4 linked regions of the Yarrowia lipolytica genome follow. Each later gene encodes a partner of the first gene's protein in a complex. Links are inferred from orthologs where the notes say so. Each region holds a gene or a part of one and is shown in the gene's direction. Other genes may lie near its edges. The genes, in order: YALI1_A09626g, YALI1_D18190g, YALI1_F05781g and YALI1_F24151g.

Region 1 (7,754 bases):
AGTGACAAGCTTAAAGAGGGCCTAGAAAACCCTCGTTCACTGACAGAACAATAGCAAATTATTGTGTGTCGGGTGTGCTTTCGAGTTGTTATCACACATGTACTAACCTCAGTTAATACATTCTTCGTTCCAACCCAATTCCTAAACGTGAGTATTTACAGACGTTTCGCTCAGTCCGTCCACCTTATATGATGATTCCCTAGATGACGAGTCAGAATGGGGCTTCCCCTTGACGATACAAACTTTTAATACCATTCATGCCTTCTGAAATGATGGTCTCTTTGAAGATCGTATCAATGCATGAGCTCAACTAACCCAGGTTTATTCCTCGTAGTCATCAGACGACAATGCCTACAACACCCTTAGAATCGGTTAGAATGATGATTTCAGAAAAATGACAAGCATATGTCTGACTCTCAAGTGGAGAAAAATTTTCTTACGTCTGACTAACCGTGATCAACAAATTGGTGAGTATTATTAACTTTGCGACAATTGGATGATGATTTACCACAATCACGACGGTCTACTGTGCCCCGAAAGGGCCTTGATGATAATCTGCCTGTGACTAGGCGTGGAGCTGATATTCTTAGTTATTTGTTCCGTCGTTTGAAATATACTAACCCCAGAGAGTGATGAGTTCGTTACGCGCTGAGACTGGAGATATATATCATAACGCTCATTGAAGTGCAGAACTACTTTGATACGATGTAGTTTGCACAATACAGATGTCCCGTCTACTGAACACTATTACTGTAATTAGTAGTTACTTTTACAAGGTACTCACCAATACGTATTTTTCATACAAGGAGTTGTTCTGCGAGCGTCATACAAACACCTGAAGTACTTGTACTCGTACAGTAGAGCGCAAATATCCAACATGAACTATCTCATGTCTAATTCACGGACTGTACGGGTACATGACACAACGAATAACACCAATATGTACATTACTACGAGTACGATACATACAACGGCACTTCATCATGGTGTTTTTATCAACAGTCATATCCCTATAGCTTACACAGCAGGTTATACAGGGTACTTGTGGGATGAATCCCACGTTCTATTAGTTTACATTTTAACTGTTCTCTCCACCATTTCACCCACACAACCGTTACCTAATTAGACGGTCTCCTCAAAGGCTGACTCGATGGGCTTCTCGAGCAGGGCAGCATGGCCAAGGATGAGGAAACCAGAAGAGCCAACAATCCAAAGCACAGTGCTGATAGGAGAGGCGAAGAATCCAAGGGGAATGGCGACAATCATGAGACCAGTGTAAAGCTGGGAGGAAGTAAGAGTCGTGAAGCCAAGGTTGAGGTCAGATCCTCCAAGAAACGAAATTCCGTACAGACCAAGGAAAACAAAACCGATAACAAACAGCAGCAGCCAGTTGGTGAGGAGAGAATAGAGAGAAAGGAGACCGAAAATGATGGCATAGTTGGTGCTGAAGTATCCCAGGTTGAAGTTGATTCGAGCTTGAGCTTCGCCCCAGGTCGGGGGCTTGGAAATTCGTCGGAAATCGAAGAAGTCGGTGGGGGACTTGAGATTGGCAAATCGGTTCTGGAGATTCGCGCCCTCAGTCTGTGTTAGTCCAAAGCTCAGAAAGCGCAGATCCAGAGAATTCCCTTCGCCTCCATATGCTCGCGGGTGATGGTACCTCAGAGTACTAGAGGCACACCAATGTTTTCAATAACGTGAGACACGTAGGGGTCGCTATCATCGCGCTGGCTCAAGGACGTGTTCGATGGTCGCTCACAGTCGCGCACCCTCTAGACTTCTTCACGTCACTGAGGATTCTCAGGTTTAGCGCCATATGCTTAAGTGCGTCACATTCTGCTTACAACAAAGAGTCGAGCACGGGATGACCATCTTCGTCTCACAGTCCACACAGATTTGGGCAAGCCTCATCACGGTGGATTACGGTCGCGTTGTGAGACAAATTTCAACAGCATTGAACGTACATCAATAACGCTTCCGTTTATTCTCAATACCATCTCTTTTTGAGACTTCGCGATAGTCTCGTATTAATTTCACCATGCCCATCTCCTTGATGATACTCACTCTTAGTCGCTCGAGGTTGAACCGTTCAGACAGGCCAGACAGCTGTAGTTAGTAAAAGTTGGGATGCGAAAACGCAGGGGTCTCATACTTACTGAGCTGGATCCCATAGATGTGATAGCGTCCATTGTTGTTGTTGTTGTTTTCGGTGAACACCAAAGAGCCGGTTCAGTATCAACGAATTTGTGGGAACAGTGTTTTTTTATGCATCCCACACGATAGCCTACGTGTCCGTGTTTGGGTTAGGGTTACGTTTCCGGTATGTGAGTCACGTGATGGACAAACACAACTCTTGCAAGTACAGTACTGTACTTGTACGCGTGCACAGGACATACTGTACGATACCTATTTTGTAGTCTCAGGGGCGATGTATGTCAGGCTGTGAGATTCTCTGTAGAAGTGGCAAAATCTGCATTATCTTCATGACCACCGTGCTAAAAGACAGAAAAATTATGCGACCGCTGCTTTAGACCACGTTCCAATTACTGTACTCGTACAAGTAGAAGTACATACATACTGTACAAGTACATACTACATACTATACTCGTACTTATAAGTACAGTGTAGAATGGCTCTTGTCCAAGCCTCTGGGACGTCCCACTTAATGCTGCTGCTATACAGTATGTATTGTACAATACAAGAACAAAATGATCTTCAATAACTTGTACTTTTTTTTGGTTTTTTATACTTGTACTGTGCGATAGTTGTACGATAGCTACAAGTGTACCAAAGTTGCTACTAAATACTGTACTTCGCGTGCATGAATGGACTGCACGTGGTATGGGATGACTAATATGTTAGTGTTCTTAATATCGGTGCCATCTTCATGGGATTGTAAGCTAAGGGCGTGCCCAGAGAGGTCACTGAAGGGGTAATTCGGAATTATTCTACAAATTTCGTTATAATAGCACAATCATTTATCCCATAAATTTGGTTTGGGTACGGGTTACCCTGTCGTAAACGTCGGCATAATAAATAACTGTACGTTCAAGTACTGTGGCACAACGATAAGAAGAACTTCGTATCGAGCGATAGGAGCCATGGTAACAGATTATGTAGTATACCGATGAGGTGCCATATCGTAGCTCTTCAACATCCTAAAGCCCAAAGCTCTTAAAGCCTCACCTAGTACTTGTTGTTTGAACTTCGGTACATGTACTGGCTCGAATGTCAAAAACACTGTGATGCCTTAAAACCTGTATTTACGCCACCTGCAGTGTTACATAATCAACGACACTTTTCATTATACTTTTAGAGAGCTTGAAGAAGTGCACACCACACCAGTCATCCAACACAACTACTAATCAATTTATTACCTCTCCATCGCAGCATGTCATTTGTATACTACAAATTCAAGTCGCAGAAGGAGCCGTCCAAGGTCGTATTTGACGGCACATCCATCTCTGTGTTTGATCTGAAGCGTGAAATTATCACTTCTAACAAGCTGGACAAATCTGCGGATCAGTTTGATCTAGCTATTGTCAATCCCGATACGAAGGATGAATACAGAGACGACAACGAGCTGATTGCCAGATCTTCTTCCGTACTGGCACGACGACTGCCCTCTCGACCAGGCAAGGGCGAGGCCGCTAGGTACGTCAACGGAGCGCCTCCAGTCACACGCTACAGACGAGACGATCAAGAAGTAGTGCAACCAACATCAGCAACACCAGGATCTACTGGCACTGGAGGAGCCGAAGATGATCTCATCAATGCTATGTTTGCTGCTCAGGGAGAACAGTGGAAGGAAACACAGAAGCAAATGGCCTACCAAACCCCTGTCTACAACCGACCCTCTTCTTCTGGAAAGCCTCTTTCTGCCAACTCCAACAACCCCCAGGCAGCAGCTGCTCAGGCCCAGTATGGAGATACTCCGCCGGAAGGATACATGTGCCATAAGTGCGGTAAGAAGGACCATTTCATTTGGAACTGCCCCACCAACAACGATCCCAACTGGGAGGGAATGCGAATGCGGCGAACCACCGGTATTCCCAAGTCATTTCTCAAGACTATTGCTAAGCCCAACCTCAACGAGGACGATCTTGATGGTAAGTCTGCTGTCTTGATCAATGAGGATGGCGAATATGTGGTGCAGGTAGCAGATCAGAAGTCATGGGAAAAGCAAAAGGCTCGTGCTCGACATGCAGTTGAAGATACCAAGGCTAAACGAAAGGCTGATATCGATCCCGAACTGGTATGCCCTCTAAGCAAGAAACTGTTTGACCACCCGGTCACAACTCCTTGCTGCAAGACCACGTACTCAGAAGATGCCATTCAACAGGCACTGTTGGATGGTGACTTTGTTTGCCCCAAGTGTGGTGCTGAGGAAATTCTGTTGGACCAGCTTCACCCCGACAAGGAAATGGAGAAGAGAGTGAAAGAGCATATTAAGAAAGAGCAAAAGAAGGAAGAGCCCGATGCAAAGCGAACCAAAACCGAGGATGGTTCTGCTGTTTCCCAGGCTGGTTCCTCGGCTCCTCCCAATGCACCAACAGGACCCGCAGGAATGCCCCAGATGCCTTTCATCCCTCCACAGATGATGCCATTCTTCATGAAGCAGATGGAGCAGATGCGAAAGATGGGTATGCCTGTGCCACCAATGCCCAATATGCCCATGGGTGGTGCTTCTGGCGGCCAGACGTTTGTGGCTAACCCCAATGGAGTCACCAATGGCCAGTTCATGGACAAGGGTGCGAGACGACAGCAGATGAACCAGAAGAGAAGATACGATGACCGTCGATGATCTTCAAAACAGCATTGTTTTGTATATTGCATGTAATTTATATGGAGTTTTGGGTTATTCTAGTCAAGGAACCCTTACTTGTTGTAGTGTGTATCAATTATGTGTGGATTGCGATGTTGGTGGGCAAGGGAGGTGGCCTGTGGCCGAGATATAAATATAATATAATCGTGTGCGTGTTTGTTGTGCGTATTTCCTAGTGAACACTAGGGAGCCAGTTGGCTTAGTATGTACGTCAAATGGGATGCCTCCTACAGTGATACCCGCGTCGGTGTGTCAGGAGTTCATACGACCCAATGACCTCGTAATGCGGATATTTCGTATACAGTTGACATACGATACGAATACATACCCGTCCTATACACCATCGGTACGTTCTTGTAACTGTACCATACAGTATGTACTCGTATAACTATGAATACAATTGCAGTGCACCGGTACTTCTTAGCTTCTCCGAACTACAAGTCAATCAATTGTCAAAAATCCCTCACTCGGGGTTGTCTATAATCTATAATACTTCTATAACTTGTTTACTGCTTCTTACCGTCGTTGAATTCGATGACGGCGTACTTGCCAGACCAGCACCAAGACAGAGGGTTGGAGTTGCCCTGCTCGACCCACTCCTTCTCGAGCTGCTTATCCTGACCAGGCTTGAGGCCAACAACAACATCTGCCTTGCAAGTTCGGAAAGACAGAATATGAACATCGTGGACTCCAAGGGGACCGAGTGCGGTGTGGAAAGACGTGTCTCGAGGCCACTCAGCATCACAAGTGAGCTTTCGGTAGTTGAGATCACCCTTGAGGATAACCAGAGCGGAATCCTTGATGTCCTCCCAGACCTGGGAGCCACCATCGATACCCTGAGGATAGATATCCCAGAAGAAGTGGGGGGTGGTCCAGAAGGCTGAGGTTCTGACAGACAGAGAGCCATCATCAAGGTATCCCTGAAGCTTAGAGACAAAGTAGTCAATCTGCTCTCGGCCTTCGGGGAAGAAGGAGGAGTCCTTGAGGTAGTTGATGGTCTTCACAAGATCGATGGGAAGAACATCAGAAACGAACCAGGGGATATTCTTAGGGTGGAGAATGACGTTCTTGGCAAGCTTCGAGTCAAGCAGGAAGAGGACAAGAGACAGGTCGGCATAAAGCTCAAAGCCGGCGTTATCGAGAATAATGTCTACTCGAGAGCCATCGTTCTGCTTAGAGTCAGCGTACAGAACGTCCCAAGCCTTCTCAATGTGGTTGACGAGAATCTTCTCCTCGTTCTTCTTTCGGACATCAGCTCCCTGGAGGTTCTTGATTTCCTCAAGAGACATGGTTGTCAGCAGAGAAAGATCAGTAGCGTTACCCCAGAGAGAGATATCAGAGAACTCCTTGAAGAGCTCCTTGAGGGTGGCCTCGTCAGAGACGCCGTTAAGCTGCTCAGCAAGGGCCTTGTACCGCGTAGCGAGCTCGGAGACACCAGCAGAAGAGGCCTTGAAAGCATCCTCCTTCTGACTGCTGAAGATGTCGTAAGTCTTCCAGTTCTTGGTCTGATCAAAGTAGACCTGGAGCTCTCGGTAGAGGTAGCACTCAACAAAGACCCATCCGCCCTGAAGCCAGGAAGTAGGGTTCTCCTTAAGCAGACGGTTGTAAACGGGGATGTCGTCGGCAACGTTGGGAAGCTCCTTCAGGGGCTTGTCGTGCTCAACATCGTGCTTGAGAGCGGTGATTTGCTCGAGGACCTTCTTGAGCTCATCTCGCTTCTCTCCCTCGGGGGTCTCGGCAATGGTCTTGTGAACATCGTCAATGACACCAGTGAGGATGTGAGGCCATCGATCCCGAGAAGAGGTGTATGCAAAGGAGTTCTTGTCGTTGTTCAGGTAGACCTGAGGGTGCTTGAAATCGGTAGTGGAGACAGTAGACATTTTTTTGTTTCTGTTTAGAGTCAATTGAGCAGTGAGGGTGGGCGGGAGTTGCTCTTTTATATGTGTCGTTTTGGTTACACAGCGCTATAGACCGCACACAGTTTATCCTGATTAACGTTACCTGCGTTGTTGGAAAGGGAACCCTATGACGAAATCTGACGTTGGAGGTGCACGTTGTTTTTGGGTTGACATGAAGACGTTTGGGACGTGTAGGAAGTGAGAGGTGCAACGTGGTAAACAGACAAGATGACACGGACTGGAGTGTTCTTAACAGTAAACCATAGGTACAGTAATCATGAACGTGCCATTTTATTCCCGAAGCGTCACTGACACAGTTAGGGCTTTGTGGGGGGGTTGCATCTGTTGTTTCTAGCACTTGTTGGGCACACCTCAACGAACCGAGGGATTATAAACGTAGACATTTCTGTTAGTTATTGGTATCCAATTGAACGCGTGAACCTGCTCAGTTCCATGGTGCAAAGCAAACCTTGTTATTGGTACAACCGCGGCCACTATTTCACTCACTAACCAACTTCCAGGATTGGGTTCATGGAACAACGTAGAACTTTGGAAAGTCATGTGATTAGCAATGTTACAAGTGTGAGTACAGTACATACTGTCGGTACAAGTGGAGGGTCATTTTTTAACCACAATGTAGAGTCTATACTGTGCCAGTACAGTACTTGTACTGTATTTTTTGGCCTACTGCTGGATCTGTGTTCACAAATGATAGAGCAATACAACCGCGCATCATATACAGGAACTTGTACACTCAATTGCAATAGCATAAACGTAAATCCACCACCACAGGGTGGATACAGTTGGTCATTCTCGCACGCCCTGTCTTTGCTCCTTTTTCAAACAAGAGGCGTATTATTATATACGGTCTTCCTATCTTTCACTCCTCTGTACAAATAACCTTACTGTAGAGTATTCGTAGGTGAGATGCGTGAGTTATATCCACCCACTTCTGAAACTTCGATGTTACTGGTTCACTTTCAGTCAAAACAGAAACCTACTTAACGAGATAGAGCCCTGGAAGAGTGCAAAGT
Region 2 (6,663 bases), on another chromosome or scaffold:
GACACCTCATCCCATAGAGAGTCGGTGGCGATCGCCACACCATCAACCGTCACACTCATAGAAACACTCACATGCTGCATCTTGAGCACATTGAGCATGTTACGCGTAAGTCTGATACCTCTCAGTTCCACCTGGCCGTGACGGTCACCGTCAATTTCAGTCCACACTCCGCTTAGCTCAGAAAATAGTGTCTCTCTGTACCAGAAGGCAGAGATCATCTGCTCGGTCTGTTGAGCATCCATCTTGGAGTTATGCAACACCTGACGATTAGTCAAGTTCGGGATGGGCTTCAAGGTTTCATCGCGAGACAATGAGATTCGCTTCAGCGGCAAGATGAACCGTCTGACTCGTCCAGGTCCAATAACAAGAGTAGGATTGTTCTCCTTTGTCTTCAGCTCAATCTTGAGAGGGTGGATCCATGAGTTTCGCAGATCAATCACGATCAGACAATAGTCGGTCAGTGACTCAGAAATGTCCATATCGGGCAAAAACTCAAGCTTGCTCTTCTCCGTGAGTGGAATCACGTCATAAGAAACCAACTCAACAGAGGCGTTGACAGTTACCTTAATGGGGATCGACAGCTCTCTGTAAGGAGATCCACATCCGTACTGGGCCCTGACAATTGCATCAGTCATGCCTCGCTTTCCGTGGATCTGGAGAGCCAGAGTAAAGCTTTTGCTAGGGGGAATCACCACCTTGTCATCCTCCTGGAGCCACTTGAGGGGTCGGCGTTTTTCCAAAAAGTACTCCAGTTCGTAGATTTCCGACTCTGGCAAGTCGCGCGCCTCTGAGATGGCCTGTCGGAGAGGCTCGAACGTAGAATCGCTGAAGTTGACGTTCAGAGACGTGCACTCGACGAGAGAGGAAATGTTGTGGAGTGTGATGTTACACTCCAGAGTCTGACCTTCCAGCAATAGCAGCCACCCATCTGTGAGACTCAGATCTGTAACACTCAAAACAGGTTGAGGAGGAATCAAAGTGAACGAACTACCACTTTCGCTGATCTCGTACTCCTGGTTGGCTGAGCAGCCAAGCACAGAAGCTCGAACAGACGTGAGCTTGCAAGTGATGATCTCGTCGGTCTTCTCCTTTGCAACGACAGGGGACACAAGAATGAGCTCTGACACAGAATTGGGAGCTAAGACGATGTTGGTCAGAGGGCGCGAGAGGGTGACCATATCACTAAGCAAGAACAGCTCTGAGATGTGTACCTGGAACAAGTAGGGATTCTGCAGACGAATCACGAACTCACACTCCTCGTTGTTAACGAGGGGGGAAACTGTAGCCGAGGTGGTGGAGTAAGAAAAGGGAGTGTATAGGATGCCCTTCTCTTCTGTAGAACCACTGGTAAGCCGCTCATCACGACCAAATTTGACAGGAGGATAGAGCATGTGACCAATAGATGCGGACCGCACCAAGTTCAAGTCCCAGTAGTCGACATGTATCTTGGAAATATCATGCGCCTTCTTAACAGCCAAATACGCCTGCATCTGATCGTGCCGATGGAGAGTGTCCGCAGTAGTACTGAGCAACAGACTGTTGTATCGAGCAACACCCTCCCAGTCAGGAAGGGTGGCGCATGTCTGTGCACAGAGCTGCAAGACACGAGTTCTAAGCTCGTTCCATCCTTGCCCCGATGGAGACAGCTTCTTGTTACCGTAATTGCACACTAGAGAGTCCAAAAACGAAATCGCCGAGGTAATTGATTCGGTGGAGTCGTTTCGCAGTTTGGGGAGCACCTGCTCAACCATCTGGTAGACAATGAATGATCGCTTACGACCCATTCCAACCTGCTCATAGGAATCTGCCAATGAACCCAGCAGTTTGAATTGATCTGAAACGCCCAAATTCGAGAGATTTGTGGAATAAAGTCGGTTTCCCCATGTTCCAACTGCAATGGGGGGAATTAGGCCATCATGGGTTTTGGTCTGGTCCACAAGATACCGAATGAATCGTATAATGGTCTCACAGTAGACAACTTGGGGGACGGCATCATCCTGCGACGACTGAGAAAGCGAGTAGAAATGCAAAACCTGCTCAGTAATCGAAGGCATTATCTCAACGAGAGGCGGGGTCCCCCGTTTGAAACTGCTTTTTACCATTTCAACAATGTCAGATGGAATAGAGAAAGATTCTCCTGCGGAGTCAAGCTGGGTCATTGAAATGGCGGCGCCTTCAGTGGCAGAGCCAAGCCATAGATAGTCGCCAGCAGATTTCAAGATGTGGATGGAATCCGTGAACTCCTTCAGAGCACGTGCGGGCTGCCCCGCCAACAAAAACAGATGTCCTCGCAGCTTCGCATGCCGTCCCTTGTTAACAACCTCCGGGTTTACAGACTTGGTCTTTGTATGGGACACTTGACCAGGTCGTTCATCCTTCAGAGTGAAATCTTGAGTCAATGAGACACTTCTTCGGTCACTGGAATGTCCCTTTACCTTGACGGCCTCACTCAGAGTTCCCAGCTTGAAATTGGGACTCTTCAATCCAACAGGCAAGTACGACATCTCCAACGTGGCAAGCTGCTGTAAAACATTGCCTCCAATTTCCTCCAGAATGTCACTCAATGTATCTGTCGCAGTGGTCACAATCTTATCCTCTGTGGAATCCTCCAATCCTCCATCTGTGTTCAGACTGATGATTCTGTACACCAGCGCATTAGGGTGGGCTTTTCGCAGCGCCTGAAGACTGTCAGCAGAAACTCCACTGAGACTGTTGGTAACTGCAACCACCACCAGCGTTCGCTTCCATATCTCCAGATCGTCGAAATGGCGCTTGAGCAGATCCTCCTGGCGCGTCACGTGATACTCAAACCGCAGCAGCGAGTCGGCGCTGTAAAAGGTTGGCGTTTCGGGCCGCCGCGGCTTCACGTGGCCCACAGACTTGAGCTGGGTCACGTGACTGTGGAACTCGTCCAGCGTGCAGTTTAACGGTACTACTGACGTCCGGATATGCGTTGGCGACGAGTAGGCGTACGTCATGCTCATTTGTTAAGGAGTAGGGGAGTGTGATTCGTGTCGAGATGTAGTTGGTATGATTAGGGTTTCGGTACTGTACATACTGTAGGGAGGTTGTGCAGGATGCAAAATGGAGAACGTGTTTGTGGATAGATTTATAAGGGAATTTGAATGTGTGGCGGTTTCTTCTTGTTATAACAGATGATGAAAGTAGATTTTTCGATTTTGGTACTATTCTGAGTCATAGTGCTTGTGTTGGGGTAGATTACATGATCGTCGGGTGTAAGTGTGATGATCCTGGGTGATACGAAAGTGTTAGAGATGGGTTGACTTGATAAAAGGAACCAAGGTAAGTATTTTATGAGTATAGATCAGCTTTTTCCCCCGTATCATGATTCTAGTAGTTCCTCAAGTGGAGGGAACATATACTAGTATTAGTTAACTACATTAGTTGAGGATTTGTTGAAGAATGGTGCTGATGGCAACGTGGGTTCGATTCCCATCAATGTTTGCAAACAGGCCTTTTCTTTTGGTTATGTAATCATGCATAGTGAAACTTTCGTTTGGTATGTTGAAATAACTTGTGTTCGCGATCACTAAACGCCACTGACCAACCTACGCCGCCCGTGACGAGCCTGTTAAACACCACGACTCTCTGTCCTTACATTTTCGGTGTTGTCATCCACCCACACACTTCACAAACGCACTTGCACACAGCTTCATCTAACTAGACGCCCTCAGATAGTGTCACCACGCGCCGACACCACCACAAGACCGCACAACCATCACATCATCACAACCACAGCTCGACTGCTCGTTTGTTTGCGATCAAAATGAAGTTTGAAACGCCCTCTCGATTCAAGTTCACGCCATATCTCGAACGAGAGTACCAATTCGGCCTAGACCCCAACCGGCCATTATGTCGAGGGTTCCTTCAGTTTGACGGATGTCCTCGAGGCAACTCTTGTCCTGACAAGCATCTGGCTCCCACATTTCTCAACAAGATTGTGTGCAAACATTGGCTACGAGGCCTGTGCAAGAAGGGCCTCAACTGCGAGTTTTTGCACGAGTACAATCTCCAAAAGATGCCCGAGTGCCAGTTCTATGTCAAGAACGGCTTTTGCACACAGTCACCAGACTGCCAGTACCTTCACATTGATCCCGCTTCCAAGATCCCCGTGTGCTTCAACTACGAAAAGGGCTTCTGTAAGATGGGACCCGAGTGCTCAAGAAAACACATCAGACGCATGCCCTGCGAGCTGTACATGACGGGCTTCTGTCCAAAGGGACGGGTATGCGAGTTTGCACATCCCAAGTTTGTCGGCATCTACGACTACATGATCATCAAGCCCAATCCCAAGGACAAGGCCAAGGACGAGACCAAACAGGAGACCAAGGAGGAAGCATTACAATAAGATCGAAACTCAACTCAAGTCCATAAACATATATACAAACAATAGCATATTTATCACAATAAGAGACGTAGTGTAGGCGTGTTCAAGCTGTAGACGTGCTCATGCTGAATACTGAGCTGGCACGCAAGGTAAACGGGGTAGAGCAGTGTTCGAATGCCCTAACATGCCACGCAGGTCCAATATCAATGACAGATGGGGATATTCCATTATATATAATCGCATTTTTCGTGATCATCACTTTGAAGGTGCAGAAGACAATCCTTGAGGGCGCAGAGACAATTCTTGAGGTGCAGAAGACAATCCTTCACCATGTTCAATGGCGAATCTGACTGTCATGAGCCCAACCAATTGACACGAAAAGAAATGATGCCGGTTTGTCTTGATCCATAAAAAAAGAATCGTCTGTTATCCAACAGCTCGACAACTGCAGGATTCGAACCTGCGCGGGCAAAGCCCAACAGATAGTACGATGGTTCGAATCTGTCCCGTTAACCACTCCGGCAAGTTGCCTTGTTTCATTTCAACTGCGTTGCCATGGTTTTGATCCGAAAAAACGCGGAAAAAAACAACAAAACAACTTCGTCGCTCATTCCTCTGAGGCGGATGTGCGGAGAGGAATGAGTGCCGAGGTTGTTTTTTACTCTAGGAGCATTATTACGATGGCTGGTACATATGACGTACTCGTGAGGTCTGCTCACGCTAAACATACACGCTGACGTCTCTGATCAATGATGAATTATGGAAAGAAAAAAAAAAAACAAAAAAAAAAAAACATAAACAACCAAACCTTCTTTCAACTCCCCGATGGCTCAAAGACTCAAACACGACACACACGAATCATACTCACGATCCCTATCCGAATTACATCTTCTACGATCTTTATGAGAACAAACTGAACCAACCTCGAGTCTGGATAAGACATGGAACGATTGATATGATTTCTTGATCTGTTAGCCATGATTCACTACCACAAGACCACAACAAGGACTTGAACTAGACGAAACGTCGACGAACCAAATGACAAGCAAGCAAGTCTTCGTCTATGTTCAATCTCGAGTTAGTCATGTGTCTCGTATACTCTTCTCTTGTCGTGGACTCTACTGTACTCACACGAAGGGGTCTCATACAACAGCCAGCAAGTCAAATGTCTCAAGTACAAGAGTCTCAGAGTGCTTTACACACGCTATGCTGACTCTACATCCGATCTTGGTCAGTTCATTGGAGCAGTTCTGAATCGCCCAAGGCACCACTTCAAAGTCCTGAGCAACCAAAACCAGAGCCAAAGAGTCATCTTTCAAGCTCCACAGCTCATTCTAGCTCTTCTACCTCCTTTTTACCCGCTTCGATCACCTGAGAACGCAACAATGATCACACCAGCGTCGAATTGAGTCATCACTGCATATCCCCTATGATGGCAACGCCGTTTGAAACAAGGTCAAATAGACTCCAAAAGAAGCAGAAATTGTACCATATCATCAATGGGTCCTCAAATCTGTACTGTGCAAAAATCACGTCTCTAGCTGGTATAATCGCTCCGTTGGCTCCCCTGTATTGTCCGCCGGTTGTGTCATATCAGAGTTATGCTTTGGCCTAAGATCAAGGTTAGGGGTATGCACGCCACCAGAAAATATATATACTGTACATGTATATATTCAGGGACATCTGCATCCCAGTCCAGTCCAATCACTAGACAGAAAAAATGACAGTGAAACTTCCGTTTTCGAAAATTGACTCGGAAGAATTTGCCGAGGCCGTTCAGCTCGAGCTCCTGGACCGACTCGAAGCTGCCTCCCAACAGACCGGCAAGGGCAAGGCCCGAAAGCGAAATTATGTGATCTGGTCCAACAGTGGAAAGATGGAGGCGGATGAACAGGGACGAGAAATCACAGGATGGAAATTCAACGAGTGGGACTATGGTAAACCCAAGATTGTCCTCGCCTCCCAATCACGTGGGCTGTTCACCCGAGACAACAAGATTGTGGTGAGAGGATACGATAAGTTCTTCAACATTGGAGAGGTGGCTACCACAAAGTGGGACTGGATCGAGAGCAACGTGCGGGGTCCCTTTGAAGTGACACAGAAGGAAAACGGCTGCATTTTGTTCTTCTCTGGTCTTGAAGACGGTACCCTGTTAGTGTGCAGTAAGCATTCTACGGGGCCGGTGAACACAGGCGACAAATCCGAGTCACCAGAAGTCGAGCCCCTTGACCAGGCTTCTTCTCAGGATCTCTCCGAAGTGAACATGTCGTCGGCTAGTCGGGACAAGGGAGGCAGTCGAAGTCATTCGTTTGCTG
Region 3 (9,705 bases), on another chromosome or scaffold:
GTGTACGAATTTTCAATGCTCCAGGGTGAGTTTTGGCGGAGGGTGGAGATACTGGGTATGTTCCGAGTGGAAGTTGTAGTGTTTCTAGTTTGTGCAAATATTGATGTTGGTTTTGGTGTAGTAGGCCAGTTGCTCACCTCTGCTGGTGAACGTTAGATTTTTTGGTGCTTTGGAGTGATTTTTGGTGCTTTTGTAAGGAGATTATAGATCCAGAGATAGCTCTGAACTTGTCTTGAAAAACGGTCTCTAATGCAACTTTCAAATCTCTAATCAGTGCAATTTTGAAGGAGTTATGTAGATATCTACACCAATCTCTTCGTAACAGCGAGTCACTATACTCTAGGGTCCAAAGTTATAAAGAGTGCTGGATTATTAAAAGCGAGTTCAAAATAATGGTCCGTGGGGTCCAGTACCACCAGAAAAAAAATTCAACTCTACAACCTCTCTATCCACACATTCATTCATTAGTATAGTTAAGACAAGGTATAAGCAGAAGGGTTAGAGTGAGAGCTGTTAACGAAATGGGGCGGCATTCAAAGGTTCCATAATGTTCTGGGTCAATTCACATTTTCTCATCACATTCAAAACCTGTGTTGAGAAAGGTGACGTCGCTTTCGGGAGAAGGCATGGCCGGGGAGTCCACCGAGCTCTCGTCATCTCTGTTTGTAGTGGTCGAGAAAGGTCTCAGTCTGTTCAAGAAAACTGTCTTGAGTTTCGATTCGGAGGGCTGCACGTGACCGTCTTTCAGCGCGCTCAGGAGATAATTGCTCTGCATCTCGTCGTCATGGACTGCGGTGGCCCAGATGGAAGACAAGGGCAAAGACAGAACGACCATGAGATAGGCCACTCCGGAGAGAATCCACGAGTTCTTTTCGGGAAGAGCGTAGTTGACAATGATGAGAATAGAAGGCACGACGAGTGACTGTGTCGACATGATGACCAGCACCTTTGTGTATCCCAGGGGTTTTTTGCCCAGGGTTTTTCTGACTCTGATGGCGGTGACGAGTTTGGCCAGGAGCACGAGAGAAGCAAAGGAAATTGAGCAGGCAAAGGATACGTCGGAGGCGAGCCGTGTCCAGCCCATACTTGGCAAGTCACGTGTCGGATGAGTCAGCACGATACACGAGACGATGGTGTGAGTGGTCCAGAAGACAAAGACGACGAGGGACAGCAAGATGAGCCCCACGGTAACGTAGATTCGAGACTTGAGCCAGGCATGAAAAACTGATCGAGTTTGAACCGCGAGAGAAAGTTGCACGGACATGATCATCAGCATCATAAACACGTTGGTGGCCACAGACACACTGATGTCGTTGGAAACATTGGACCGTGGGTCCACAATGTAGGCGACCATCATGAGCATCGAGGCAAAGGGTCCTAGCAGGAAGCGGAAGTACAGAGCCGCGTGAATAATGAGCATGATAAGCGACATTTGGTTGGCCAAAAAGAGGATCTTGGTGCGGTTTTTTTTGCTGATCAGATGCATGGCAATGAGGGTCAGGACTGCTGCTCCTACTCTGACTCCAAACAGAATGGCCAGACGCAGTCTGTTTTGATATAGTTGTTCGAGAGCACCGAGAGGCATTTGACCGAGCACCAGCTCGGTTTCCGGGACCGTTATTGATGCCACCAGCGTGGCAATGTCAAAGTCTGGCCGAGGGGGTAGTTGCATTGTGGTTGGTGGTGGGTAAGTTGGTAGTTGACCAGGGTATCATGTTCAGGAGGCTCGTTTATATACGTTTGTGCATGCGTTTATGTCACTTGTTTGTGCCCCCGTTTCCTGCTCTCTCCATTTCCCATTGACATCGCCAAATAGAGAAGACGAGTGCGACCTTGTGCATACTACATGCGCTTGGGTTAGGGATAGAGAGATTGATCTGGTGGGATCAGGGGAGATCAGGGGAGATCAGGGGGGGCTCTGAGTGGGATTTTCGGGTGGTATCACGTTATTAGAGTAATTATGGCCGGTCACGAAGGATATTGATTGACATGATTGTGTGTGGTCTAAAAAATACCAGAAATGATGATTGTATGCCAGAGTTAATGGATGGGAAGGTTCTCTTTTTTGGTGTGGCCAGAACAGGGACAGAAATGGAGGTATGGGTAAAACATGCATTTTTGAAGATGGTAGCTGGGTATTGGAGGTGAGTGGAGATTGGTTCTCTGAGGGAGGTATTTCCCCTTTTTGTGCTATTCGTGTCAGTGTTGCACTTTTCATCAGCTCCCATAATTTCTCCCATACTGTGGCGTGTTTACTGGAACTGATACTGTACATGCCTCAAGTACAAGTACAGTATATACTGTACACTCGTATATATTGTTACGTCTGCGGGGTCTGTTAGCGAAATGTGGGTCGTTTGATTGGCTGAAAATTGGAAATTAATTTTAATATCCGCGATATATTATTGTTCTGTCAAAATTTGGTCTGTTTCTGGACACTTCTTAGTGGACTGGAAGGACCCTTTGATCTCTTGTTGGCAGGCAGTGTATGTTCGATCTTAGCTCGTCAGAATGACGTTAAAAAGGGGAAGAAAAAAAAAGAAAAAAAGTGAAATTTTTGGGGCTTACAGAGTGTGTTTTTTTAAAGTGGAACTTATGGGGAAAATACATAGCGGGTTTTATGATAAATCATAGTTGATTGAATCTATGCTACAGTATTCCCACTTCCTTCGCTCAGCAGCTGGACCTGAGAAATATTGGGTGTGGTCTTCGCCTTCTAACTCACGTGACCTCTGGAGTTGGTTTCCTGAGTTCATTGTGATCATTTTGATACCATAAAGTCCAGTTTCTGTTTTTTTTCCAGCTCCTTTTTTGTCCGTTACCATTCCCACATACTGCGAGTACATCTTGTCTGGTTGGTACACCACCCTACATACTGTAGTCGCATTCTGCTTCAACGATCCAACATAGCTATTGGCGGGAGTGAAGCAAAGACGCTAATGAGTACTGTATTGGTAGCTTCCGGGAAGCATTTCGAACACAATCTTTCTTTTCCACTTCCCTTTTTTCTTGTATATTCTCGTTCTAAGATGCTACAACTACTTGTAGTCGTCCTCGTGCTTTAATTTTCTTCAGTCTAAGTACACTGTGTACACTACATCCTATATAAAATATAAAACATAAAAAGAGTACATACCGTCGAAATTATACTTGCACTCTGATCACTCCAATTGTGGTAATTTTTGGTCTAATAGAAATCTGAAAATACCATTGAGATCAGCTTGGAATTTCTAATACAGTACAAGTGTATAAAGCTCTTCAGAGTGACGCTGCCAGTATTGACCATTCTGACCATCCAGAGTTCGTACAATATGCTCTCTTCAATTAACTCTTGTAATCTTCATGTAGAACACCCAGCTTTATTTCCCCAGAGTGTCTTCGATTTTGGCCAAATTGACGCCCAAAACATCACATTCCTTCAAAATCCCATGATAAACATCCTTCAATTCTCCGTTTCATCTCTCTCCTCGCCAATCCCATTCTTGGTCCCTCCCCCCGTTTCACCTCACACCCATGAAATACAGTCCAGATAAAGTTTGCCAGTCCCAACTCAACTTTCTCCCGCCCACTGCACACTGTCTTTGACACCACACACAAGACAGTAATTGTACCAATCGTTTGTCAATCGTTTGCCAATCGTTTTTCGATCGTTTTTCGATCCTTTTGCAACCGTTTGTCAACCGTGTTCGATCACCATGTCATTAACAGAACAGCTGGCGAGTCTTGGCCAGGTCGCAGACATGGCCGCCAAGGACGCCGCGCTATACGAGCAGTATGTGCCGTCTCTACTGGAGCTGGCTTCTCGTCCCGAGAAGGAGCTGCAACAGTGGCTGGCGGACTTTCTGCTTGATGCGCTGGCGTCGGTATTGGCGCTGGAGAAACGACGCGAGCTGGCGCTCAAGGCGCTGACGGTGGTGGACAAGTTGCTGAATGGAGAGGTGAGTACTATGTGACTGTAGGGACTGGACAAGATCAAGTGACCCTGACCTGCCTGAGGTTGCCCTCAGCATTTTTTAAGTCACATGACTGTTCTTGTGACAACGACGCAAACCGCAATTGTCAACTGTAATGGCCGTTGTGTCTAGTTTATGGCGTTGTACTATCTCTGAGTTGGACGTTGATCCGACAGACGACCCACTGCGTGATCGACTCAACGTTTAGCTTGCGGGGTTTGTTTTCTCGACAACGTGGACTGATTCAACGACACCAGTATCGACACAGATCCAGACGTCACACTTTTCCACACGTGACTCTTATCCATTATTGTAGAACTTCGGCGACCGTGTTGGTGGCCCCCCAGTATGCTCCTGGAGTCATCATCGACTGATTGCATCTTTCTGGGTCCACCATCCCAATGCTGTCAAGGACAAGAACATGTGTTTGGGACAAAAATGACATAGCAACTAGACGGAGAGACACGCATCAGGTCATGTGACGTGGCAGGGGAGGTTTTTGGCCGTTTTGCGTTCCCCACTGACAGACGGTTGACGATCTAGCCTAGCGCATCGCAGTCTTTCGCTATAGAAAATGTCTGTCTACTTAGTCAGTGGAACCGTCTTTGCATCACTGACAATGCTTCATTAGCTATATATGCGAATTGAAGCGTTTCAGAAGTGCCAACAGATCCAGTGTTTCTCTCCAATTTTCGGACAGGCGTGCCTCCTACTGCTTGACTCCTGTGGATTCTGGTCAATTCTGGCTGGACATGTAGCTCTGGTTGTCTATTTCAGTTGTTTCTGCCTCCAGAGCAACTATGGATATTGTCCCTCTGACTGCACCGTTTTTGTTACTGCTGTCTAGGATTGATGTATGTCTTCTAGACATATGTCTTATCTAGAGAGGAGTTGCTGTCGAGACTGATGTTGTCTAGAGATATGGTGCTGTCCAGAGACATTACTATTCTAGAGACATCAACTCCCGATTGTCCGCTCAAACTCTGGTATTCGTTGTATTACGTCCTACTGTTGTCCGCTTAGTCCTCGGTCCTCGGGCCTTTGCTTTCGTTTCCCACTAACCCAGCCCAAAACCCCTATTCTCCTTTCCGCCCTCATCTACCCCCTGGTCTTCTCCGCGGTCTCCCTCAACCCGAAACTCTCCTCCGAATGGTCCACTCTGACCTCCCTCAAAGAGCGGATCACGTCCATCTGGAGCAACGACCCTTCACCCTCGGTCGAAATAGCATGCATCAAATTTGCCCAGCAGCTCGTGCTCGTCCAGTCACGGGGCCAATCAGGTCCTGCTGACCCGCGTCTGGCCGCCAGATCAAAGCCGTCAGCCGAGGCCAACATGAGCATGGTGCCGCCTAACCACCCGCTCATCCACAGATCACTCGAGGCCGAGGGCCAGGGTAGTCTGGACCGCCTCCTAGGCAACCTCACTGGTGACGACTTGTCACATGACAACCAGAAAATCGCAGAACCCATTTTCACAGCAACCGTGTTTGCTCTGGCCCCCATTCTCAAACAAAGACCCGAGTACGGCAACAGAATTCTGCAAACGGTGTTGGCGGTGGACCCGGTGGCTATGGAGACGAAATTCACTTCCAAACTCGCCGTTCGCTTCTGCGAAAAGTCGCTCAAAATGCTGGTTACCCACTGCTTACGTAACAAGATCCACGTGCAGCTGCGACACAGAATGGAACGGTTTCTGGCCGAGGTGGGCCGAAAACGACCGGCCCCAGTCGACGATCACGTGACCAAGCGCCAGAAGACGGAGGAGCCGACCACCAATGCATCTACACCTACTCCTGTATCCATGAGCACCACCATGCCCCCCAATGCAGACTCATATAGCGCTCTGTTCACTCTGATTCCTGCCAACGACCCGTTGGTGGCTTTCGACGCCCGGACGTTACCCCAGCAACTGGCGCTTCAAATCGCGCTCACCGGTTTGCTGAGCGTAGACGAAGCGGTTCTTAGAAGTCGAGTTGGAGTGGTGAAGCAAAGATGGGACAATTGGCAACAACAAGAAAAGGCCAAGGAAGAGGCCAAGAAGTCCAGATCTGAGTCACGTGATATCCAGAACAGACGAAGCGAGTCGCGAGACTACCGGTCCGGGTCCCGTGAAGACGACGACGACGAGAGGGACGACTCCCGATCTCGCGGACGGGCTCAGTCGCACAACACCGGTTCCCGCTCTCGATCCCGCGACGTCTCCATGGAATCACGCGACTCTCCTGTTTCACGTGATTCCTCGCTCGACTCCCGAGTTTCTTCCGACTATTCACAGACCGAAACCGACTCAGCAGTCACTTTCCAACTGCCACCCCCCGAGCCCCTTTCAGAGTCTGAAAAGCTTACGGCCGGAACCGAAATCGTGTCGCGGTTTTTGACACAAAAGGACGTAGCGGTGGCAACAGCCAAGTCGCTGGATATCCAGAAGAATGCCATTTCCAAGCTGGCTATCAACGAATGGACCGGCGGTTCGTGGATGGTGATTTTGAGTCGATTGTTGAGCCGTGGTCTTGCTTATGACCCCGAAACCGAGCCTGCCGACTCTCTCAAGGTCCAACTTTCCACTCACATTCGAAACCAGCTGTTGAACATGGCCACTACGGCGTTTACAGCGAATTTCGAGGACGTCATGACCTGGCTCAACGAAGAATGGTACTCGGAGCTGATCCGGTACGGTAAAGTTACTCCAGCCACGTCTGTCTACTACGAGTATGCTTCCCGTATCATGGACACTCTTGTTCAGACCATTGATCCCGACAACTGGAAGTATTTCATCAGACTGGTGGGCGAGCTTCCCGAGCTCGATTACGGCCTGGTTAGTAAGCTCAAGCATCTTCTGATTGACCCTGATCGGTCGGTTATTGGTGTTCGGTCGCTCAAGTATCTTATCATGCTGCGTCCTCCTACCCGAGACTACTGTCTCGATGTCATTGAGGAGGTTTACCAGGAGAATGAGAGTCTGAGAGGCGGTTTCAAGCAGGTTCTGGGCAAGTATAGACCGTTGGTTGTTGAAGGAGTTGAGAGGAAGATGTTGGAGGTGAAGAAGGAGGAGGCTTCTGAGGAGCCCAAAGCACAGGTGAAGCAGGAGCAATAGATAATGAAGAGTTATGAACTTGTAGAATGTATTAGAGGAGCTGTAGTGGAAAGATGGGGAGTTATGAACAATACTGACAAAGAGACAGATGAATCCAAAGAAGATCTCCAGCGACAGATAGCGGTAATATGTCGGCGACACACGATTATTCTCTCCAAGTAGGGTCTTTAAACATATTGTAATATGGATTTGGCAAGATGGAGCCAGGTGATAGATACTACTGCAAACAACTCGCTTAGGCCAACCCACTGCAAGTTTCCGTTTTGAAAACTCTCCTCTCCAAGGTCGTCACGAGTGTAAGCAGGTCGTCTTAGCCCCGTCTGCCTGAGGGTTTCCACCAATATTTAGCCAGAGGAGATGTGAAAGAAACAAGAACCATTAATCAAAACCCCACCACTATCTACACGTTGCCCGCCACTCTTGTTACCGGGTCGACTGGCTTAACAGCAGCCCGAATGTCAAATACGCCCCTAAGGCAGATGCAGATGCCCCCAATTCAGGTCATACCGTCATTGGCACTGCTTGAGAAGAGTATGCCAACGATCAAGAGGTACCTGGTCAATGGCAGACTTGTGATTGAATGACTGGGCGAGACTAAGAGTGAAAATGAGCTTGAAAATGTCTTCAAGAAACTTTCTACGGTTATGGAATTGTCACTGTCCGAAAAAGACTGGAATACTATTACTCGACAAGAGACTGTGGCTCTAGGAAACGTGGTTTTCAACTACGTTGGAGCCAAGAAGTTTGCTGAACTAGTGTCGATGGATTTATTGAGGAAAATCTCTTTTGTAGTCACTTGGATTAACCAACTTGACTACGAGAATCTCAAAATTTCGAACCGAGTGACTGGTGAGGGTCATTGATACATGGTGTGGATTGTTACCTGGTTTCCCTGGCTGATGCTAGAACGACGGCAAACGCTATCTTTTGTCCGTGTCATCAAGTTCTGCTCCCAGTTCAAAGCAAGATTGCGGTTGGAGACAAGGTGATACGCAGAAACAGCTCTATACAGCCTGCAACTTCGACGGTGAATGGCTTAGCAGGAGTGATTGCTGTTCGCAGCTGAGCTAAAGCTCGCACGTCTACTCGGAGCAGACCTGTCTGGAAACTACTAGCTGGGTTTCTGATATGTATATATATATTGTTGAGTTTGATTAGCAGAAGAAAGTCTCTGATTGGGCCAGTATTTTTTAAACGTTTCAATTGAGAAGTTACACCGGTCTACCGTCTATTATTGATGGAAGTATTCTGTCAACGAGAAGACAACATAAAGGACGCTCCTATTCAGCTGAAAATGTTCGTTTTCAAAGTCAGATTTTTTGTCATGGGACCTAATTCTATGAATGAAGAATCATGGACTTCAAATACCAATGTCTTTTCATTATTGTGCCATACTATGGCCTCCAAAAACGCCTTCAAATGTTCCATATATTTACTTTTATTAAACTCAAAATCTTCCACTTTCGCGTTTTTTGATAACAATTCTCCAAAAAATCACCAAAATGGCCATGAAAATGCTCCATCGGGATTTGAGCCGAAGCAAATCGACTCTACTGAGTCTCCTAGCGCTATTTTCCTATTAATTAGCGCGAGCCCAAATTTCTCGATGGCGTTGATTTTTGTTCTTCGATTTTAAGGTATACAGTTGAAAAACTACAAGTAGTTGTCTTTGTTCAGATGCAGGTCCGTTCAACTCCTCCTTGGAGTGGTGATAATCGGGTGAACAATAGACAGACCACTGAACCAAGAAGGACCAAATCAGAAAGCCAAATCAAAAGACCAAATCGCGTTGATAGTTCTCAAAACTGATAATAACAAAGCCAGATATCTTTTTCCCACTACACTACAGTACATACTTAGAAGAGACATGATAGGATCTTGCCCGTACGACCTCTTTTCCCTCAACTTCACTCTCGTCATCAAGTCAATCAATCAATTACACCAAACAATACAAACTAGAAATAATAGCTGTTGCTATCAGCTCACTATCTGGATCGGATAATATCATCCCCACATCTAGACTCGTAGATTCGGGAGTCTGCATATCTGGATCGATATCGTGGGTGGCGGGAGTTGCGGAAGTTGCGGGAGTCACGGGAGTCACCAGAGCCTTATGAATTACTGTAGTCACACGCGCAACGTGAGCCACGTGAGCCACGTGAGTGGCTAGCCAAAGTCCCATTCGGAGTCGAGACGAGAGTCATATCTAGACCCCGAGTCGTATTAGTCATAGGCGTGGCTCACTGATTGGGCACGTTACAAGTTGTTAGAGCGTCGGGAGTCGTGTTGAAGGGAGTCACGGGGTCTGGACTGGTGTCTCGAGTTGGAGTTGAAAATTTCCGAATCGAGCTGTCGTCTGTCTCTAGAATCATATCTGTCAGAAAGTTTCAGGTCGTTCTTGTGGATGTACTTGGAGAAGACATCCCAGTGGTGCATGTTAGTCGGGTGATATGAAGAATGGTTCCTGTCAGTATCGATTTCAGAATGGCCAGCACTAATATCATGACTGGCCCCATCGCTGCGAACAAAATTGTTCTTGTTAGCAGATTTGCCTTTGAAGAGACCATGATTATCGGCAATGTCTGAGTGCGAATCTTTCTCGATTGAAAGATTGTCTTGGTACTCATTTTCGCCAGAAAGAGCCTTAGATCGGAGCTC
Region 4 (6,835 bases), on another chromosome or scaffold:
GCGACCGCTGAGGTCGGAGCCCATGAAAGGGATCGTTTACTGACCCATAATAAAACAATACCAAAATATACAATATATATGCCGCTCTATAATATGAAACATCGTGATGCGTTTTTTAAACACGGATGTGAAAATATATACATCCCAGATAGACATGTTCGTCAACAAACCCTCAACTACTTGTACCAAGATGTATAATGGTGGATGTCACAGCAAGCATCTTCTCCTTATTATTATAAAAAAAAAAAAAAAAAAAACATAAAACATAAAACATAAAACATAAAACATAAAACATAAAAATAAAAAAAAAAAAAAAAAAAAAAAAAGGAAGTAACACTCGAAGGAGATTACTCACGCCCTAGATCCTACCTACAAGGTGCCTGACGTTTCAAGATGCGTTCACAGCCCCCATTATCCGTTTACGGCACTTCTTACTCATTCGCCTGTGCGTTCAGTACGGCTACAAGTACCCCCATGCACCCGCCTTAGTGGGTCACGTGCAGAATATTGCACGAACTACAGCAGTGTGTTATGAGGGGACAAGACAGTGATAAATCTCCAGTAAAAACTTCGAAATCCATTAGCATACTGAATAGAACTCACACAGCTCCTGCCTTACCAAGTGCCCTAACCTCAGACTTTGGAGCGTTCCACGCCTTAGATATCATCCCCAAGGCACGATATGTTGCTCAAGGTTTTCCAAGCATCCTAACCGTTCACTAATCACACACACCAAATCACACCAACATGACCGCCTGGAGCAAGTACAGCGTGCCTGTGGTGGCTTCTGTCATTATGGCATCGACCAGTGAGTAACTCGACCTTGATTCTCAGCTTTTCACCCACTAACACAGCCTACTTTTGGTTCAAGCCAATCATCATGTGAGTATAGGAACTACGAACCGGCTGCTCGAAAAAGAAACAGCTACAACAAGCGCGTCAGCTACCAATAACCATCTCAATCAACAGCTAACCAAGTGAACAGCTGGCAATCGACGGAAACCTCAAGCCCGGCGTCAAGATCGATCCTGAGATTGCTGAGAGCATAGAGGCTCGAAAAGCTGCTCTGGCGAACGCCCAGAAAGTTGAGATTCCTAAGGGCGGTCCTCTCCCCAAGGATGGAAAGGAGTAATTGTGCATATAGACAATTGATATGTTAACTGAGTGGACTACCCATGATCCGAGGACGTGGTGAGTTGACAAGGGGTATGAATCTGATGTAGTGATCTGGGGTAGATGATCCACAAAACAGATGCAGCAGTTAGATATCTGAAGCCATAGAGCTCATGTCCGTCCTCTATGATATATATACAAGTTGTATTCAAAACATACTGTTTATGTAGGTGCCTATCTCGTCTCGCTACCAGCCTCCACAACCCTACACTCTTCTTTCACCAACCAACCAAAAAACATATATACATCATATTTACATGAGACTGGGCAGACTTATGCCGGATCTGATTATTTGTTCATCTTGGAGACGAAGTTGTTCTCCTGCATAATGGCCTTGGCTCGAGCCTTCTGGGCCTTTCGGGCCGCTCGCACGGGGTCGGCAGCAAGCTTGGCTTTCTGGGCCGCGGGATCAAGAATGTCCCACAGCCACTGGGGGTATTCTGAGTCCTCCAGGGCCACGGGGTCCTGGCCGTTCTTTCGCACGTTGCAACCCTTGAGAACGGTTCCTGCGGCGACGCTGGAGGGCACCTTGGGCTGCGAGGGGGTGGAGTATGCACGCGAGATCACACGGAGGGGGGTGGCCCGCGATCTGGTCAGGAGTCGAAGCATGTTGTGTGTAGTTGTGTGTAGTGACGTTTTTGTCGTTTTCGATATGCTAAGTTTTTCAGTTGACGAGGACCATGCTGAGGGTTAGGGATATGAGGGAAGCACTACTTGTGGTAGCCGGCAATAAAGAAGTGGCTAAAATGGATATATGAAGGGCTGCAAGAAACACAAATACCCGCGAGTGGTTTTTCCGACGTGTTTTGGAATAGTTTCTCACCAAAAAACAAAAACAAACACAAAAAAACATATCGTAATACTCACCCATATTCCTCTTACACTCCATCGCTGAATAAGCACCTTAGAGACGCACGAGTTTAAAAAATTGTGAAGTTGGTGCAGAGTGAGAAATCAAAGAACTTCATAGACATCCTTAAGAACACACAAAACCACGAAACACAATGGCAAAAATCAAGCGAAAAGCCAAGCACACCAAGCGAGACAACCCCATCGCCCGAAAGGCGTCCCAGGCCGCCAAGGACGACCGCAAGGATGAAAACACACGAACCACCAAGATTCTGCCTCTGCTAGAAAAGCTCAACGGCGGCAAGCCCGCAGACAAGTGCACTGCCATTGGAATGATCACAGCTATGGTCGAGGATCCTAAGCTGCGACAGATGCTTCTCAAGGAGTCGCTCATCCAGACTGTGATCGACAAGCTGCTTCCTGACGCTTCCGAGGAGGTTGTCATGGAGTCGTACGGCCTGCTGCGAAACATTGTCCTGGAGGAGGGCTACGACGTGGCCGTGTTCATGTTCCGAAAGAACGTCATCAAGATTGCATCCGACTCTCTGGAGAAGATTGTTTCCACCTGCCAGAACATTGCCAACGGCTCCCAGCAGATCCCCAAAGGAGATCAATTCACTCTACTGTGCGAGTTTGCCGAAAACATTCTGTCTCTGCTCACCAACATGGGCGTGACTTCCGATGACATTTTCGACGCCATCGCCTCTTCGCCAGCTGGCGTCCAGACCGTGGCTGCTCTTCTGGAGCTGCGAAAGACCAAGGCTGAGTTGAATCCCAAGTTCCCCTCTGCTGTGCTCTCTGCTGCCTTTGAGTATCTCTACACCTTTTCCGAGTCTAACCCCGAATTTTACAAAACCATTCCTTTCGACTATAAGATCTACCTCGAGGATACCACTCTACCCATCGCTGCCCAGGTGTTTGTGTGGGGTCTGCACTACAACATCTGTGTCGAGAGCCAGGGAGTAGGCTCTAAGGGCCGAGACGCCTCTCTGTCCGAGATTCTGTCGCGACTGCTCATCATTTTCAACTCTAACTCTGCATTTGCCGACCTGCAAGCCAAGCAGGATGCTGGCTCCAAGGACGGAACTGTGGTTGCCACGGACAAGAAGGACATGGACGCCATTGAGGCCCGTTCCACCGTGAACGCCCTCCAGGTCATTCTCGAGCTCATTACGGACATTGCCGAACAGGTCACCTGGTCAGGCGTGACCGAGGAGCCCGAGGACGTCGACGAAGATATGGAGGTTGACATCCCCCAGGACATTGACTTTGGCCATGGAGACAAGAACGGCGCTGAGGGAACTGCCGCTACTTCTACCATCAACTTGCTTCTCAACGAGGCCTCTGCTGTCATTGAGAAGGCTCTCACTTATGCCCCTCTCGAGTCGCGAGCCATGGCTGCTCTCAACAATCTGGCATGGACTATGGCATCTCACGAGCCCACAAAGGACTCTGAGCAGTGGCAGGGAGCCGCCCAGCAGCTCTGGATCAATGTGTTCCCCATGCTCGAGAAGTACGAGGGCGAGCTTGCTATTGACTCCCTCACATCTGCTGTTGGTGTTCTTTGGGCTGTAGCAGCTGCTCTGGACTCCAAGATCAACTCTCTGACTGTTTCCCAGTCCGACTTCATTCTGGCACAGATTGAGCGAGTCACCAAGGCCACGGAGACTCTCACTGCCGACGAGATTGCCGACTATCACCAGCGAGCTGTTGCTCTGGTTGGTCTTCTAGCAATGGCTACCGGCAAGAGTGGCTCTCAAGAATCCATTGCCCTGGTTGAGAAGGTTGGAGAGTACCTTCTCCAGCTTCTGGAGGCTCTTCCGCAGACCCAAACCCAGGTTGCTCTACAGGCCGTGGACAAGATCTTTGACATCTTTGGCGACAAGTACCCCTACGATGGGCCCGTATTTGTCAACAAGGGCTACCTGAAGCGACTGGAGCCTCTGCTGCCCAAGGTTCGACACATGGCCAAGAAAATTAACAAGAAGCAGAACCCCAGTTTGCGGGAGGACGCTGATGCTGCCTCTCAGAACCTGATGCGTTTCATCAAGTACAAGGCTGACGGCAACTAGACAGGTTATCTAGTGTATTGAATAAATAGATTAATGACGATGTTGTAATGATAGTGACTGAGTGAGTAGATATAACCCGACCTTTGTATCGTACCTGTACATGTACTTGTATCGTGCTGGGTTCCCTGGATGTACTGTAACCTAATTTTGAATATTATCTCCATGCATGATATTTTCGAACACTCATTTCGATCTCACACGAACACACACTAACACACACAATCACCACAATCATGACGGAGCTTAAGATGTGCACCGTGTGTGCCTCAAATCAGAATCGATCAATGGAGGCCCACAAGGTTCTCAAGGAGGCCGGGTTCGACGTGGAGAGTTACGGAACGGGAAGCGCGGTCAGACTGCCAGGTCCAGCGTACGACAAGCCCAACATCTACGCCTTCGGAACGCCATACGATGATATTTATAACGAGCTCAGTGCACAAGACGAGCGATTGTACACAGCTAACGGACTGCTGACCATGTTGGATCGAAATCGAAAGATCAAGACGGCTCCTGAGCGATGGGTGGAACACAAGAACGTCTTTGACGTGGTCTTCACCTGCGAGGAGCGGTGCTTCGAAGCTGTTTGCGACGACCTGATGGACCGGGGGGAAAAGTTGCAGCGACCTGTGCATGTTATCAACGTGGATATCCGTGATAACCATGAGGACTCTGTGATTGGAGCCCAAGGCATCTTGAAGCTGGCCCGGAGTCTAGCTGACAGCAAAGACCTCGACGCACAAATCATGGGTATCATGGACTCGTGGCAGGAGCAGCATCCCAAGCTGCCTCTGATGCATGCTGTTGGCTACTTTTAGACAGGACCAGAAGGACGTGTATCTCACTATTGTATAAATTATATATTTAAAAATGCTTCATTATTAGATTATGTTGATGGTGACGATGATGGATGGGGTTTATTGTGTAGCCTCCTTTCGCTTTCTCCACTTTTCATTAGTCACATCGGGAGTGTCAAGCATCTTTCGCTTACTGATGGGAACGTAGGGGATCTTCCGAGAGAAGCTTCCAGAGCCGTTGACCACCGCCACTCTGTCGCTGTCGCCGTCTTCAGCACGGGGGAAAGTCCGTTCGCTTCCAGTTCGCTCAGCAATGTGCTTCATCATAGCTAGACTGAGGGTGCTCTGGAGCATGACGTCGTGCCAGTGCTTGAAATTGGAGTTTTCCATTCGCTCCTGGGGCATGGCGTTGGGAGTGATCCATTCGATGGGCTCCTTGAATGTACAGTCATAAAGAACCAGAGGAACATCGTGAGCCATGTCGTACACGGGGCGTCCAGGATACTTTTCGGGGTTCAGCAGATCGGTTATCACGCTTGGTTTCTCGAGTTTCTGGCCCACCAGGAAGAGAATAGCCATCATGCATCGAACCTGGTGCCACAGGAAGGCTCGTCCCTTGAGGTTGAAGTAGTAGATGTCGTCCGAGAGCTGCTCGATCTCGGCCTCTAACATGACTCGGTTGTGGTGTGCCAACTGCTTGGATCCATCCACCTTGCAGAAGTTTCTGTAGTCGTGTTCACCCAGGTACAGTTTGGCAGCCTGTCTCATTAGATCAATGTCCAGATCGCCCTTGTGGAAAAAGTATCTATAGTGCCGGTATTCACAAGAGAATCTGGAGTCGAATCCCTCGGGCAGTCTGAGAGCCACAGAGTAGATTCGGATATCTGGTGGCAGCAGCTGGTTTAGAATGTGAATGTAGTTGAGCTCCTTGTTGTCGTTAGCGGCGTCCTGCTGCTCCTCGGGAGACAGCTTGGATCGCACCTTAAGAGCAATGACCTGAGAGAAGGCGGACACGCCTCGGTCTGTCCTTCCGCATCTGCTAAAGTCGAGATCGAATAGACTGGCCGACTCGGGGATCAGTCTGCACCGTTGCATGGCAGACAGAATGGTTCCTTCGATAGTGGGCAGAGGGGTGTCTTCATGCTGGACAGCCAAACCTCCATAATTCCAGCCGAGATAGGAAAAGCGGATCGCGATTTTTCGAACGGGGTGCCGACTAATGTCGTAGCTCTCGTTTCGCTTGGCCTTGGAGGCCTTGACCGGCGGGTCTGGCACGGCTCCCTGGGCGGTACTAGGGTCCTTGCCCTCCAGCTCGAAAATGCGATTGATGAGGTCCGCTCGAGTCCATTTCTGATACTCGGCCATTCTGGAAACTTGGTGTGGCGTGAACTTTAGCTGTCGTGTCGCTTTCGGAGCGGAAATCAGCCGTTTTAGTGCAGCTATCAGAGCCATGACAAGATTCGAGCTGGGAATTTTTCATCACTAAGTTGGGAGTGTCGGCCTGCATGTAAGCTGCACAGAGTACGAGGCTAATGGAAATAATTTGGCGGTGAGAAAAAAAAGACCAAGCACACTCACACAACACAAAACATAATGTCTACCGACTGGAAAGACTTGCCCGTTGCGCCATGGCTGATCGACACCATGGAGCAGTTCGGATTCACCGATATGACCCCTGTCCAAGCTTCAGTCATCCCCATGTTTGCAGGAAACAAGGACGTGATTGTCGAGGCAGTCACTGGCTCAGGAAAGACCATTGCCTTCCTAGTTCCTCTGATCCAGCGAATGCTGAATCTGCTGAAGGAAGGACCGGCTGTTTCTGGCCGAGTCTACTCTGTGGTCGTCTCTCCTACCCGGGAACTTGCCCGACAGACATATGAAGTGCTGCAGTCCATTCTGGAGATGGGATGTCCTGAAGCCGATGCTAGCGACAAAATCACCCTGGAG

Evidence for each region.
Region 2: YALI1_A09626g (region 1) and YALI1_D18190g share a complex: the UniProt entries of both Saccharomyces cerevisiae proteins name them as parts of the cleavage and polyadenylation factor (CPF) complex. The link is inferred for Yarrowia lipolytica from reciprocal best matches to the Saccharomyces cerevisiae genes MPE1 and YTH1.
Region 3: YALI1_A09626g (region 1) and YALI1_F05781g share a complex: the UniProt entries of both Saccharomyces cerevisiae proteins name them as parts of the cleavage and polyadenylation factor (CPF) complex. The link is inferred for Yarrowia lipolytica from reciprocal best matches to the Saccharomyces cerevisiae genes MPE1 and PTA1.
Region 4: YALI1_A09626g (region 1) and YALI1_F24151g share a complex: the UniProt entries of both Saccharomyces cerevisiae proteins name them as parts of the cleavage and polyadenylation factor (CPF) complex. The link is inferred for Yarrowia lipolytica from reciprocal best matches to the Saccharomyces cerevisiae genes MPE1 and SSU72.

Annotation. Positions count from the first base shown.
Region 1 is NC_090770.1:958,249-966,002, reverse strand, and holds YALI1_A09626g (uncharacterized protein), read left to right. Parts: upstream 1-3,388; coding exon 3,389-4,801; downstream 4,802-7,754. Other genes in the region: YALI1_A09654g (uncharacterized protein), read left to right, coding at 1-34, 113-147, 320-330, 391-467, 627-652; YALI1_A09638g (uncharacterized protein), read right to left, coding at 1,123-1,581, 2,062-2,103, 2,154-2,186; YALI1_A09593g (uncharacterized protein), read right to left, coding at 5,329-6,702. UniProt on the Saccharomyces cerevisiae protein: Component of the cleavage and polyadenylation factor (CPF) complex, which plays a key role in polyadenylation-dependent pre-mRNA 3'-end formation and cooperates with cleavage factors including the CFIA complex and NAB4/CFIB.
Region 2 is NC_090773.1:1,816,136-1,822,798, reverse strand, and holds YALI1_D18190g (uncharacterized protein), read left to right. Parts: upstream 1-3,787; coding exon 3,788-4,369; downstream 4,370-6,663. Other genes in the region: YALI1_D18198g (uncharacterized protein), read right to left, coding at 1-2,984; YALI1_D18167g (uncharacterized protein), read left to right, coding at 6,069-6,663. UniProt on the Saccharomyces cerevisiae protein: RNA-binding component of the cleavage and polyadenylation factor (CPF) complex, which plays a key role in polyadenylation-dependent pre-mRNA 3'-end formation and cooperates with cleavage factors including the CFIA complex and NAB4/CFIB.
Region 3 is NC_090775.1:573,434-583,138, reverse strand, and holds YALI1_F05781g (uncharacterized protein), read left to right. Parts: upstream 1-3,695; coding exon 3,696-3,937; intron 3,938-5,018; coding exon 5,019-7,047; downstream 7,048-9,705. Other genes in the region: YALI1_F05814g (uncharacterized protein), read right to left, coding at 563-1,672. UniProt on the Saccharomyces cerevisiae protein: Essential in pre-tRNA processing. Component of the cleavage and polyadenylation factor (CPF) complex, which plays a key role in polyadenylation-dependent pre-mRNA 3'-end formation and cooperates with cleavage factors including the CFIA complex and NAB4/CFIB.
Region 4 is NC_090775.1:2,410,831-2,417,665, forward strand, and holds YALI1_F24151g (uncharacterized protein), read left to right. Parts: upstream 1-4,327; coding exon 4,328-4,909; downstream 4,910-6,835. Other genes in the region: YALI1_F24115g (uncharacterized protein), read left to right, coding at 748-808, 855-882, 979-1,132; YALI1_F24126g (mitochondrial 54S ribosomal protein mL54), read right to left, coding at 1,462-1,782; YALI1_F24130g (uncharacterized protein), read left to right, coding at 2,178-4,094; YALI1_F24171g (uncharacterized protein), read right to left, coding at 5,009-6,340; YALI1_F24173g (uncharacterized protein), read left to right, coding at 6,482-6,835. UniProt on the Saccharomyces cerevisiae protein: Component of the cleavage and polyadenylation factor (CPF) complex, which plays a key role in polyadenylation-dependent pre-mRNA 3'-end formation and cooperates with cleavage factors including the CFIA complex and NAB4/CFIB.